Linked DNA regions of Cricetulus griseus. The protein of the gene in region 2 purifies or fractionates together with the protein of the main gene of each other region. This does not show direct contact. Links are inferred from orthologs where the notes say so. Each region holds a gene or a part of one and is shown on either strand. Other genes may lie near its edges.

Region 1 (2,504 bases), on a different chromosome or scaffold from region 2:
GGGCTTTGTAGTTCCCCAAGAAAAGTGAGCAAAGAGCCGGTCTTGTAGAACTCCATCTCCCAGGAGTCACCGCGCCTGCCCGTTGTAAGCGCTCTTAACAGTTTGAATCAGGTAGTTCTTGCAAGACTGGGTGGGAAGACAGCTGGTTCCAAATTGCCATGAAACAAAAATCACTTACCTGGAAGTCAGGGAGCGTCTTTTTGCCCGAGAATCTCAATATTCTGCAATGACTCCAGAATGGGACTGGATACAGGTGGGGTAAAATCTGTCCCCATAGCCTCTCTGGATAGTAACCAAGGAAGGCCTGTAGAGTATACCCAGAGCCTACTGGGTGCCTGCCCGACACAAAAAAGCCATTCCTGGGTGGACTCTATGGGAGCCCTGGCAGATGAGGGCAGAACATTACAATTTCCAGCAACAGGCCAGAAAGGGACCTTTTTACCCCGGAAAAGGCAGATGTGGGCTAGGATTCTTGTACCCAGGATGTGTCTATGGTTCTACAGCCCGCCAACCTCCTGCTGCCCCATGCCTGCACCAAGAAGGATGATGTCCCCAGGAGGGCCAATACCCACACCACAAAGCACCCTTCCCCACCATGCCTCTGAGGGTCAGGAGAGGGAGCCAAGGCCCTGCAAACGCTCAGGCAGGCATGTGAGAAAGCTCTTTACTGGGGGGTACAGCAAGGAGGAGCAAGGCCATCTCCCCCTACCTGCCCCCACCCCCTCCTAGGGTCCTGGGGTGAGGGGGAATCTCCCCCTCTACCGGACCACCACTGTCTTTGGTACAATAAATAGAAAACAAGGGAGGAGAGGGGGCCAAGGGTCCAGTCTTAGTGGGGAGGGCGTGGCCAAAACCCCTCTCCCTTGACCCCCTGCCCTGGGCCCCAATCAGTGCAGGCCTCACCCACCCCAGCTGGGTAGCAGCAAGTCCAGTCAAGGGGAGAGATGAGGATGGGAGCCTAGGGCCCCCAGATGGGGGGAGGGGGTATGGCTTCAGGAGGGGCCCCAGGGAGGGGGCAGGGTCATGAGCTGGCTGCTGTGCTCTGGGGTACACCGTGGAGGCTCAGGCGAGGCCCTAGAGTGGCAGGGTCATCCGGGGGTGGGAGAGGTGGTCGACCTCCCGTCATCCGAGTCCGGAGTGATGAGGCAGCCGGGTGCTGGGGGGCAGGTGCTGGATGAGGTGGGGAGCAGTCTGGAGGGCTGCCCACCAGGCTCACATCCATCAGCTCCGGGGGTGGTGGTGACGTTGGCGATGCGGGACGTCCAAGGCATCGGGGTTGAGGGAGTAACTGGGCCCCAGTCCCTGGCAATGTCGAGGCAGAGGTAGGGGCTTGATGTGTCTTGTGGGGCACATCACCCCCTGCCCAGGGGCGCAGAGGCTGGGAGGGTATAACCTTAAAAAAACAAAAAACCGAAGGATGTTAAGGTCCTGAAGTGTTAAGCGCCTGCCACCCACCTCCAAGGTTTCAAGCTCTAGTACCTGGGGGCTGTTCATCTCACAGTCGGTGATGGGGGGCCCAGGTCCCCCACAATATCGGTTGCTGTAGCGGTAGGCCCTGTTGTCACTGGAGGAGCCACTGGAGCCTCCTGGAAGCACCGGGAAGGAGAAAAGAGGGCAGTGGCGGTAAGATGCAGGCAGTCTGCTCAACATCTAGGCGCCATGCTGGGACTCTGAGGCCAGAGCTGGTTTGAAGGCTCTAACAGCCTGATTTTGAGATCTTGGGTCAGAGTTGTGTGGGAGGCTAGAGGCAGCTTTAGGGGCTGACTCTCAAGCCTGGATCACGTGGGACTGTCCCACCCCACCTCACCCTGCAGCTCAGAATCTGGTAGCTTAGCTCTAAGGCTCTAGGACAGAGGCCCAGCGGGAGGTATCCCAGGCTGGGCCCTGCGGCACACGTGACAGTGGGCACCCACCAGAGCTGGAGATGGAGCTGGCGGTGCTAGAGGAGGGGCAGGTGTCGAGGGGTGCGGGCGAGGTGGAGGCACTGCTGCCTGCCGGGCCCGTGTTGGTGGCCTCGTCGGCCGTGCGGCGGAAGAAGCCGTGCTGCAGAGCGCCCAGAGGGCTGATGCGGGCGGCGGGCTCATACTCCAGCATGCGCAGCACCAGGTCCTGGAAGCGGAGGTAGTCGGCGGGGCTGTGGCCCGGCTCCCCCGCCCGCCGGCCCCCGGGCCCGCCCGTCTGCACGCCCAGCACCTCCTGCAGCCGCCGTGTCCCGGGGCCCTGGTAATCCTGGCAGGGAGGGGGTGGGAGGGGGGGCAAGAGAGTGGCCGTCAGTGGGCAGGAGGGGCAGGGAGACACACACGGGGAAACAGAGGCACAAGAGAGCAAGAGAGAAGCTAACAAGAGCTGTGGGGTGGGACGGTGACGGGATAGGCAGGGGAGGAAGCAAAGGACAGACAAGGGGTGGGGGAGAAAGACAGGGAAAGACGCAGGGAGAGGGGAGCCCCAAGTGTGAGTGAGGGGCCACCCAGGGAGGGAGAAGTGGCACAGGGCAGGGGCCGCAC
Region 2 (3,736 bases):
TTGTGAGCCACCCAACCTGGGTTTGTGGGTGTTTTGTTTGCACATTTGTCTGTGTACCACCTGCTTTTGGCACTTCCAAAGGCCAGTATACAGTGTTGGATTACCTGAACTATGGAGTTAAAGATGTTTGTGAAACACCATATAGTTGTTGAGGATAGAATCCTGGGGCCGGTTCTCTTAATCATTGAACAACCTTTGGTTGGGGATTTTAAGCTTGCACCATTATGCCCTTATCTCTTTTGTTTGGTTTTTTGTTTGTTTGTTTGGTTTTTTGTTTGTTTGGTTTTTTCTGGAGACTGGGTTTCTCTGTGGCTTTGGAGGCTGTCCTGGAACTAGCTCTTGTAGACCAGGCTGGTCTCGAACTCACGGAGATCCACCTGCTTCTGCCTCCTGAGTGCTGGAATTAAAGGCGTGCACCACCACCACTTGGCCATTATTCATTTTGAAGTATTCAGAGACCAGATGTTACTTTGATTTGTAACTCTGGTTTCAAGCTATCCAGCACCCTCTTTGGACCTCTCTGGGCCCTCTGGCCTCCAGTACCAGGCATACAGGCAATGTACATACATGTAGCAACACACACATAAAATAAATATGAACAACTCCTTAGATGAAAATGTTCAGTATATACCATTTTGTAAATAAATGTCAAGGCATGTAACTAATGACTTAGAATCTTTAAAGTGAAAATTGGAAGAATGTTTGACTTATGGCATTGTTTATTGGTGTCTGCTAAATAGGCTTATTCTTTGAGACAGTCTCATTGTGTAGCCCTGGCTTTTCCTGGAACTGTAGACTAGGCTAGCAGTGAACTCCTGGAGGTTAGCCTGCTTCTGCCTCCCCAGTGCTTGGATTAAAGTTACATATTTATTTATGTATTTACTTTGCAGAACCCCCAAGATAAAATATTCAGCCTTCCAAGCTTAAAATGAGCATGCGGTATGTTTCTGTCTTGTAAGTTTGAAAAGAGTAACTGATGGCCTTTGTTCAATGTTGATTTCCTAACCACTGTAACCTGGCAACTGATTTTTCCTTTTTCTTGTTGAGTTAGACTTTAACTAGAAGACATAGGAACAAAGTGACAAACATTGTAGGTTACAGTTACTGCTTATCCTTGACCCCTAGACAACACTATGGAACAGATGGTGGGGCTTTGGGGGAGTTTGGGGTTTTTTTAGGTAGGTGTGTGCCGGGCTTATGTGAACTTGTGATCCTCTTTTTGACACAAGTCTGAGATTACAAGCATATGTCACCATGCCCAGCTCTGTAAATTCTCAAATGTAGAATTGTTTTTATTATCTCTAACTCACAGAGATTCCCCTACCTCTGCCTCCTGAGTGCTGGGATTAGTGTGCATCACTACAGCAAGCTAAAAATTTCTAGGTGGGGCCTGGCCTGTACCTGCTGCCTTCTCCTCCCAAGTGTTGGGATAACAGGCATGTCCATAGTGTCTGGCAGAACTTTGTGTCTTGTTCCTTATTATAAACTATCATGAACCAGGCAGTGGTGGCGCACGCCTTTAATCCCAGCACTCGGGAGGCAGAGGCAGGCGGATCTCTGTGAGTTGGAGGGCAGCCTGGTCTAAAGAGCTAGTTCCAGGACAGCCTCCAAAGCCACAGAGAAACCCTGTCTTGAAAAAACAAAAAAACAACAACAACAAAAAACTATCATGATAGAGATACAAGAGCTTTGTTTAGTCTTCATTCTTTCATTCGTTCCTTCTCCTTTTGCTTCCACCTGCAACACCAGCTGTGGAAAGGTAGGGGCAGGAAGTTTGTTGCAATTTGAGGCCATCCACACCTGCATAGTTAAGACTTGCTCATAGCTGGGCAGTGATGGCCAACCCCTTTAATCCCAACACTTGGAAGGCAGAAGCAGGCAGATCTCTTGAGTTCCAGGACAGCCAGGATTGTTACAGGAGAAACCCTGTCTCGAAAATGTCCCTCATAGCAAGACTTTGCTTTAAAACACTGAAAGGGGACCGGGGAAATGGTTTAGCCAGTAAGAGTATTTGCCAACAAACATAAGGACCTAAGGTCAAATTTCCATGGGGGTGGGGGCGGCGGCTGAAGAGATGGCTCAGCAGTTAAGAAACTGGCTAGTCTAACAGAGGACCCAGGTTCAGTTCCCAGTACCCACAAGGCAGCTCCAATGGATCCAACACCCTCACAGAGGCAGAACACAATGTATGTAAAATAAAAAAAATCACTGAAGCCTTTCCATCACCCATGTAAAAAGCTATTTGCACTGTGTGTTCAGGACAGGGGGCCTGTTAGGGTTTGTTAGCCACTTGCTTTCATATTTAGTGAGAGTCTCAAAGGTGTGGAAGTGGAGCAAGGTTGAGACAGACATCTGGCCACTTCACAACCCCACCACCACCACATTTGCATGTATACTACATACAAACATAAGACAATCAATTTTTGTACAATTGTGTGTGAAGGCCTGGTGTGGGTGCTGAGAACTGAACACAGGTCATTTTGTTTTGTTCTTGGTTTGTTAGAGAAGAGGCTTGGGTTTGTGAAGAGACTGTTTAGACACTACTGTGAGAAGGCAGATTTGGGGCCAGCTGCAGAGTGAGACCTTAACATTAAACAAAAAGTGACTTTTAATTATTTTTATTTTGTAAGAAATGGTTCTTTTAGGGAGTCTCTTTCACTTGATAGCCACCTCTGTGTCCTCATCTCCCCTTACAAGGGCCCCAGTCATATTAGAGGAGAGCCTGCTTTGATTCCATTACCTTTAAAAGCCCTGTCTAAAGTAAAAGTCTCATGCTGAGGTACTGAATTTCAGAGTTAAACATGAGAAATTGGACAGAAAGCAGTTCACCCTTAGCATTGATTACTTAATGTGCTTCTAAGGAAGTAGGTTAACTTTGCTGGTTCCTGTGTCTTAAGTAGTGAATGAACAAAGAACAGAAAAACTGAGCCTGGGCATGGTAGCACACACCTTTAACCCACCTGCCTCTACCTCCCAAGTCCTGGAATTAAAGGCTGTTGCTGCTAGGCAAGCAATTATTGTAATGTGCTTGGTAAAGAATCTGCTCATTAATTAGCCTCAGCCGCTAGGCAAAAAGCAGGTGGACTGTATACCCATTTTCTCCAAGTTAAGTAGATAAAATCCTCACTGAATCCTCGTGTGCCAGCTATTTGGTGTTATTGGGGGTTCTCTAATGGAAGAGAACTGATTCAGTGAATATATAACAGGATTTATTGGCTTTTGTACATGATGCTTGTGTCAACGGAATAGTCCAACAATGGCTGACTTACCCAGAGAAGTCCAGAACCTTGTAGTTGCTTTTAGTCACTTCCAATCTGATACTTGAAAGCCTGGACAAATCCCAAAGAGCTGCTGCTGGTCTTCAGTCCATTTAGGAAGCATGGAGCAGGGCAGCAACAGGGTATTGGCACTAGAAAGTTCGGCTCACAATTAATTAGAATGTGTTTTTACACTTCAAATAGTTTGATCAAGAAAATGTACAAGAATGCCTTTGAGTTGATTTAGGATCCAAGTTTACAACCCACATTATTTGGGAAGGGTCTAAGCATTGTTTAATAAACATGGTAACATGCTGTGTAGTGAAGGCACAGTTTTCTAAAGTTAAACACGACAACTGGGTGATAATGGTTATCTGTAGCTGTTAGTATTCACTGAATGGGGGCGGTATTGTAGTTTTTATTTTAGATGGGTGGGCTCATGGTATGTATGTGTGTGGGCATGCATGGAGTCCTAGTTC
Region 3 (3,751 bases), on a different chromosome or scaffold from region 2:
GTGTTCTAGCAAGATGCCTCTGACTGCCATATGGAAGGTAAACTGGAGGGGGTTGGATGAACCGAAGCAAGCATCAGAGGAGGCCGAAGCTGTGATCCAGGCAAGGGAGATGCAGACAGCAACCCAAGCGTCATTTAACAGACTCCATTGGTCTGGTTGTTTGTGTTTGTGACAGGGTCTCAAGTATCCCAGTCTGGCCTTGAACTTGAAATTCTGGTCCTCTTGTCTCCACCTACCAAATGTTCCCATTACAGAGATCCACCTTTCAGTCTGGTTTCACGTGGTGCTGGGACGGTACTCAAGCCTGGAGGATGCTAGACTAGTATTCGACCAACTGAGCTACATCCCCGGTCCTTTAAAAAAATTCTGCTGGGGCCCACCATGATGCAGCAAGCCAACACCTGGGAGGCAAAGGTAGATGGATCTCTGTGAGTTCAAGGCCAGCCTGGTCTGCACAGCAAGTTCCAGGCCAGCCAGGGCTACAAAGCGGGACCCTGTCTCAAAAAATAAATAAATAAATAAATAAATAAAACAAATACATAAATAAAACACTATTTTTTTTAAAAAAAAATATACTATTGAACCCAGAACACAGCACAGTCGATACTTGGCTCAAGACTCGAAAAAACCGGGATGCCCCTGTTCATAACCCAGAAAGACCGATTGGCAAGGTTCAAACTTTTATTCGGTTTCCTTGGGGGAACTATGTGTTTTTTGTTTTTGTTGTTGTTGTTGTTGTTTTTCCCCAGAAGGGACACTGGGGGCGACTTGTTCAAGGTCACAAGGAGCAACCAGGCAGCAAGCACCCAACTCCGGAGCAGGTTTCCCGGTTCGGTTGGGCAGGGTGCTGCCGTGAAAGCGGTCCCAGCCCGCGCGGGGAGGCAGGCATCAGAGCGCCGATCCATCATCACCAAGCCCAAACGCATGCCCGCGGGTCCCTGAGACCCCGAGAAACTTTCTTGCTGCCCGAGAACTCTCTTAACTTTGGGGAGCAGGCGCCCTCCGGGCTCACCCCGGGCCTCCAGCGCTCCCCCGCGATGGGATCCTTTCCCACGAGGGGGGCATCTGGACGGCCTCTGGTCACCTTGCCCTCCGCGAGCACCAGCGTGCGAGCCGGTGGCGGGAGGGAGGGGGGGGAGGAGGGAGGGAGATGGCTCGCCGCGCAGGCGCGCCAGGCGAGCCTTTGGGGCCCGCGCTTTACGACACTTGTGCGGCAGCGGCGGCGGTCACTCGGCGCTCCTTCGCGACGGTTCGGCCTGTGTGCCGCGAGCGGCCGTTGCCAGGGCAGGGGGGGTCGCTTTGCGGCATGGCGATGGCGGAGGGCGAGCGGGCTGAGTGTGCCGAGCCCCCCCGGGACGAGCCCCCGGCCGACGGCGCTCTGAAGCGGGCGGAGGAGCTCAAGACGCAGGCCAACGACTACTTCAAAGGTGCGTGCGGGCCCGGCGCGGGGCGAGCGGTCCAGGCCGCGCGGGAGGAAGCCGGCCGGGGGCCCCCCGCGGGGAACCATGGCAACGCGGAGCCGGAGCCTGTGGGCGCCGAGGATGCAGGTTCCTCCCGAGGCAGCCGGCGCGAGGAGGAGGCGGCCCAGACCCGGGGTGGTGGTGGGGGGGGTGGAGGTGGGGGGGAGAGAGAGAGAGTCCTTGGAGAAAGCGGGGTTCCGGAGCAGAAGCCGCTCGCCGCGGTGGGGAGACTGAGGCAGGCTCTGCTGCACGATGCGGGGGGGGTACAAGCGGGGGTTGGGGGGGGACACCCGACATGTGATTGCTGCCAAAACGCGAGACCTGGACAGACAGAGGTGCTGCTAGGTGCAGGTCAGACCTGAAGAGGGCGCCACCGGCTAGTGACATGTGTTGAGGGCAGTGATGGCGCTGGCCGAGCGGCGGGGGACACCCGAGGTGACTCTGGCCAACTGAGGAAGGAGGAGGGAAGGCCCCCAGGGAGAAGGGATCTGTGGGGATGGACGAGATAGATGATTAGGTTGGAAGGAGACTTAGTTGGGGCGCGCGGGGGGGGGGGGGGTGATCCGAGGTGATGAGTAGGGAGTAGAGGTGGAGCAGGAAAGAGCTGGCGTGATCCTTGGGTTAAGAGTGCGATGTGGGAATGTGTCCGTCCGTCCGTCCATCCTTCCATCCATCCATCCATTCATTCCCTCAGTACCTTTGCATGAACTGTCACGTGCTTGGCTCCGGAGGCTGTAGCAATGAGTGAGGACCCATAGCTTGGGTTCAAGCAGCCCCGACAATTGCTAAAAACTTTCGGTGAGCACTTTGGATCGAGGTGCCAAAAGTAGAGAGTGCAGGTTAAAGTCTGCTCTGGATAGAGCCGGGTTAGGGAATGCCCGGGAGAAGGGCTTTTTAAGGAGAATTGGGAAGGGGTTTCTTTCCCACGTGGGTCAGTTGACATAGCTCAGAGACCCTCAGTTGCAGAACGAGTGAAAACAGATTGGCTTAGTCGGAGCTTGAGCAAGCCTTGGGGGGGGGGACTTGATACAAGATGAGATTAGTAAGATGAGGGACCAGATCGAGCAAAACCTATGAAGGGTTTTCTGGACTGTCCAAAAAAAAAAAAAAGACACATTGAGTAGATAGATGGGCCAGTCTGGGCTGGGGAAAATTTGGAGTGTGACCAGCCCGTGGTTGGAGGTGCCCTGGGAATGGATGAAGTTACCTACAAGTGGGATCTACAGAGAACCTAGAATGGCATTTTCCTAAAACCGAAACGGGGCTGCTGAGGGAAAAGAAAAAAAAGTGAGCCAGAGGGAAGGAAAACTAGGAAAGGTGCCCCAGGCTAAGAGAGGAAGGTTCTTCCCGAAAGAAAGCCAGTTGCCTGATCACCTAGCCCCAGGCATCGCCTCCAAGGTGAAGGCGATGATGTTGACAGTGCAGTTGTGAATGATAAAGCCAGCCCACAAGTTCCTGGCAGGTGAATATTGGGGACCCCCGGGGGACAAGCGTCTCAGTTCTGAAGGAGGGTGGAGAAATGGGGGCAGATGGCAAGAGGGGGAGTGGGTGGGGGGTCCCTAGGAGTGCTATTTCAGATATGGGCCAAAAGAGATACAGACCCAGGGAAACATCTGCAGACAGTAGGGGGTGAGGGGGAGCGGGGGAGAAAGATCTAGAATCCTAGGGAGAGGTGGGCCCCAGTGGAGGTAAGTCCAGACACTGTGGTGCATGCCTGCCAGCCCAGCTCTGGGGAGGCTGAGTCGGGAGAATTGTGAGTTTAGTGACAGCCAGGAACACATAGCAAGACCGTCACAAATAAAGTGGGAAAAGTAGGTAGAGGAGCCTTAGATGTCTCTCTGTGTGTGTGTGTGGGGGGGGGTTATAGAGATCATCCTAAGGGCAGCAAGGAGATACAGAGGGTTTTAAGAGAGTGGCCCAGCTGGTTCTGAGGGAGGACAGTTGAGAGGGTGGAACCTCTGACCTGGCTGGAGGGAGGAAATGAGGCTGGCTTCCTAGAGAGGGGGAGGGTGGCAGTTGGTCAGGGCCCAAAGGTGAGCGGAGCCTGGCACTTAGATGAGTGGGGCTGGGGTGGAGGTGGTTAGAGTTAGGCCATGGGAAGGGACAGGAGCCTTCAGCTTAGGTTCTGGAGAAATAACCCTGCTTCAGATTTGTGTCTTCTAAAGATTTGGGGGGGAGGGGGCAGGAAGCGGGGGGGGGGGGGCAGAGCAGAATAGGACTCTGCAGGGGTGGGGCACTAGAGTGGGAGGGGAGCTAATGGGTGTAAGAGATGCTATCGGGACACTCTGCGG

The links.
Region 1: the proteins of Ptges3 (region 2) and Dyrk1b purify together in Homo sapiens (affinity purification with mass spectrometry; 3 studies listed by BioGRID and IntAct, with this or other methods). This does not show direct contact. The link is inferred for Cricetulus griseus from reciprocal best matches to the Homo sapiens genes PTGES3 and DYRK1B.
Region 3: the proteins of Ptges3 (region 2) and serine/threonine-protein phosphatase 5 purify together in Homo sapiens (affinity purification with mass spectrometry; 5 studies listed by BioGRID and IntAct, with this or other methods). This does not show direct contact. The link is inferred for Cricetulus griseus from reciprocal best matches to the Homo sapiens genes PTGES3 and PPP5C.

The regions. Positions count from the first base shown.
Region 1 is NC_048602.1:7,912,573-7,915,076, forward strand, and holds the end of Dyrk1b (dual specificity tyrosine-phosphorylation-regulated kinase 1B), read right to left. Parts: intron 2,230-2,504; coding exon 1,914-2,229; intron 1,587-1,913; coding exon 1,480-1,586; intron 1,394-1,479; coding exon 1,022-1,393; 3' UTR 651-1,021; downstream 1-650.
Region 2 is NW_023276806.1:129,802,483-129,806,218, reverse strand, and holds the start of Ptges3 (prostaglandin E synthase 3), read left to right. Parts: upstream 1-919; 5' UTR 920-928; coding exon 929-954; intron 955-3,736. UniProt on the Homo sapiens protein: Cytosolic prostaglandin synthase that catalyzes the oxidoreduction of prostaglandin endoperoxide H2 (PGH2) to prostaglandin E2 (PGE2).
Region 3 is NC_048602.1:11,654,108-11,657,858, reverse strand, and holds the start of serine/threonine-protein phosphatase 5, read left to right. Parts: upstream 1-1,228; 5' UTR 1,229-1,306; coding exon 1,307-1,427; intron 1,428-3,751. UniProt on the Homo sapiens protein: Serine/threonine-protein phosphatase that dephosphorylates a myriad of proteins involved in different signaling pathways including the kinases CSNK1E, ASK1/MAP3K5, PRKDC and RAF1, the nuclear receptors NR3C1, PPARG, ESR1 and ESR2, SMAD proteins and TAU/MAPT.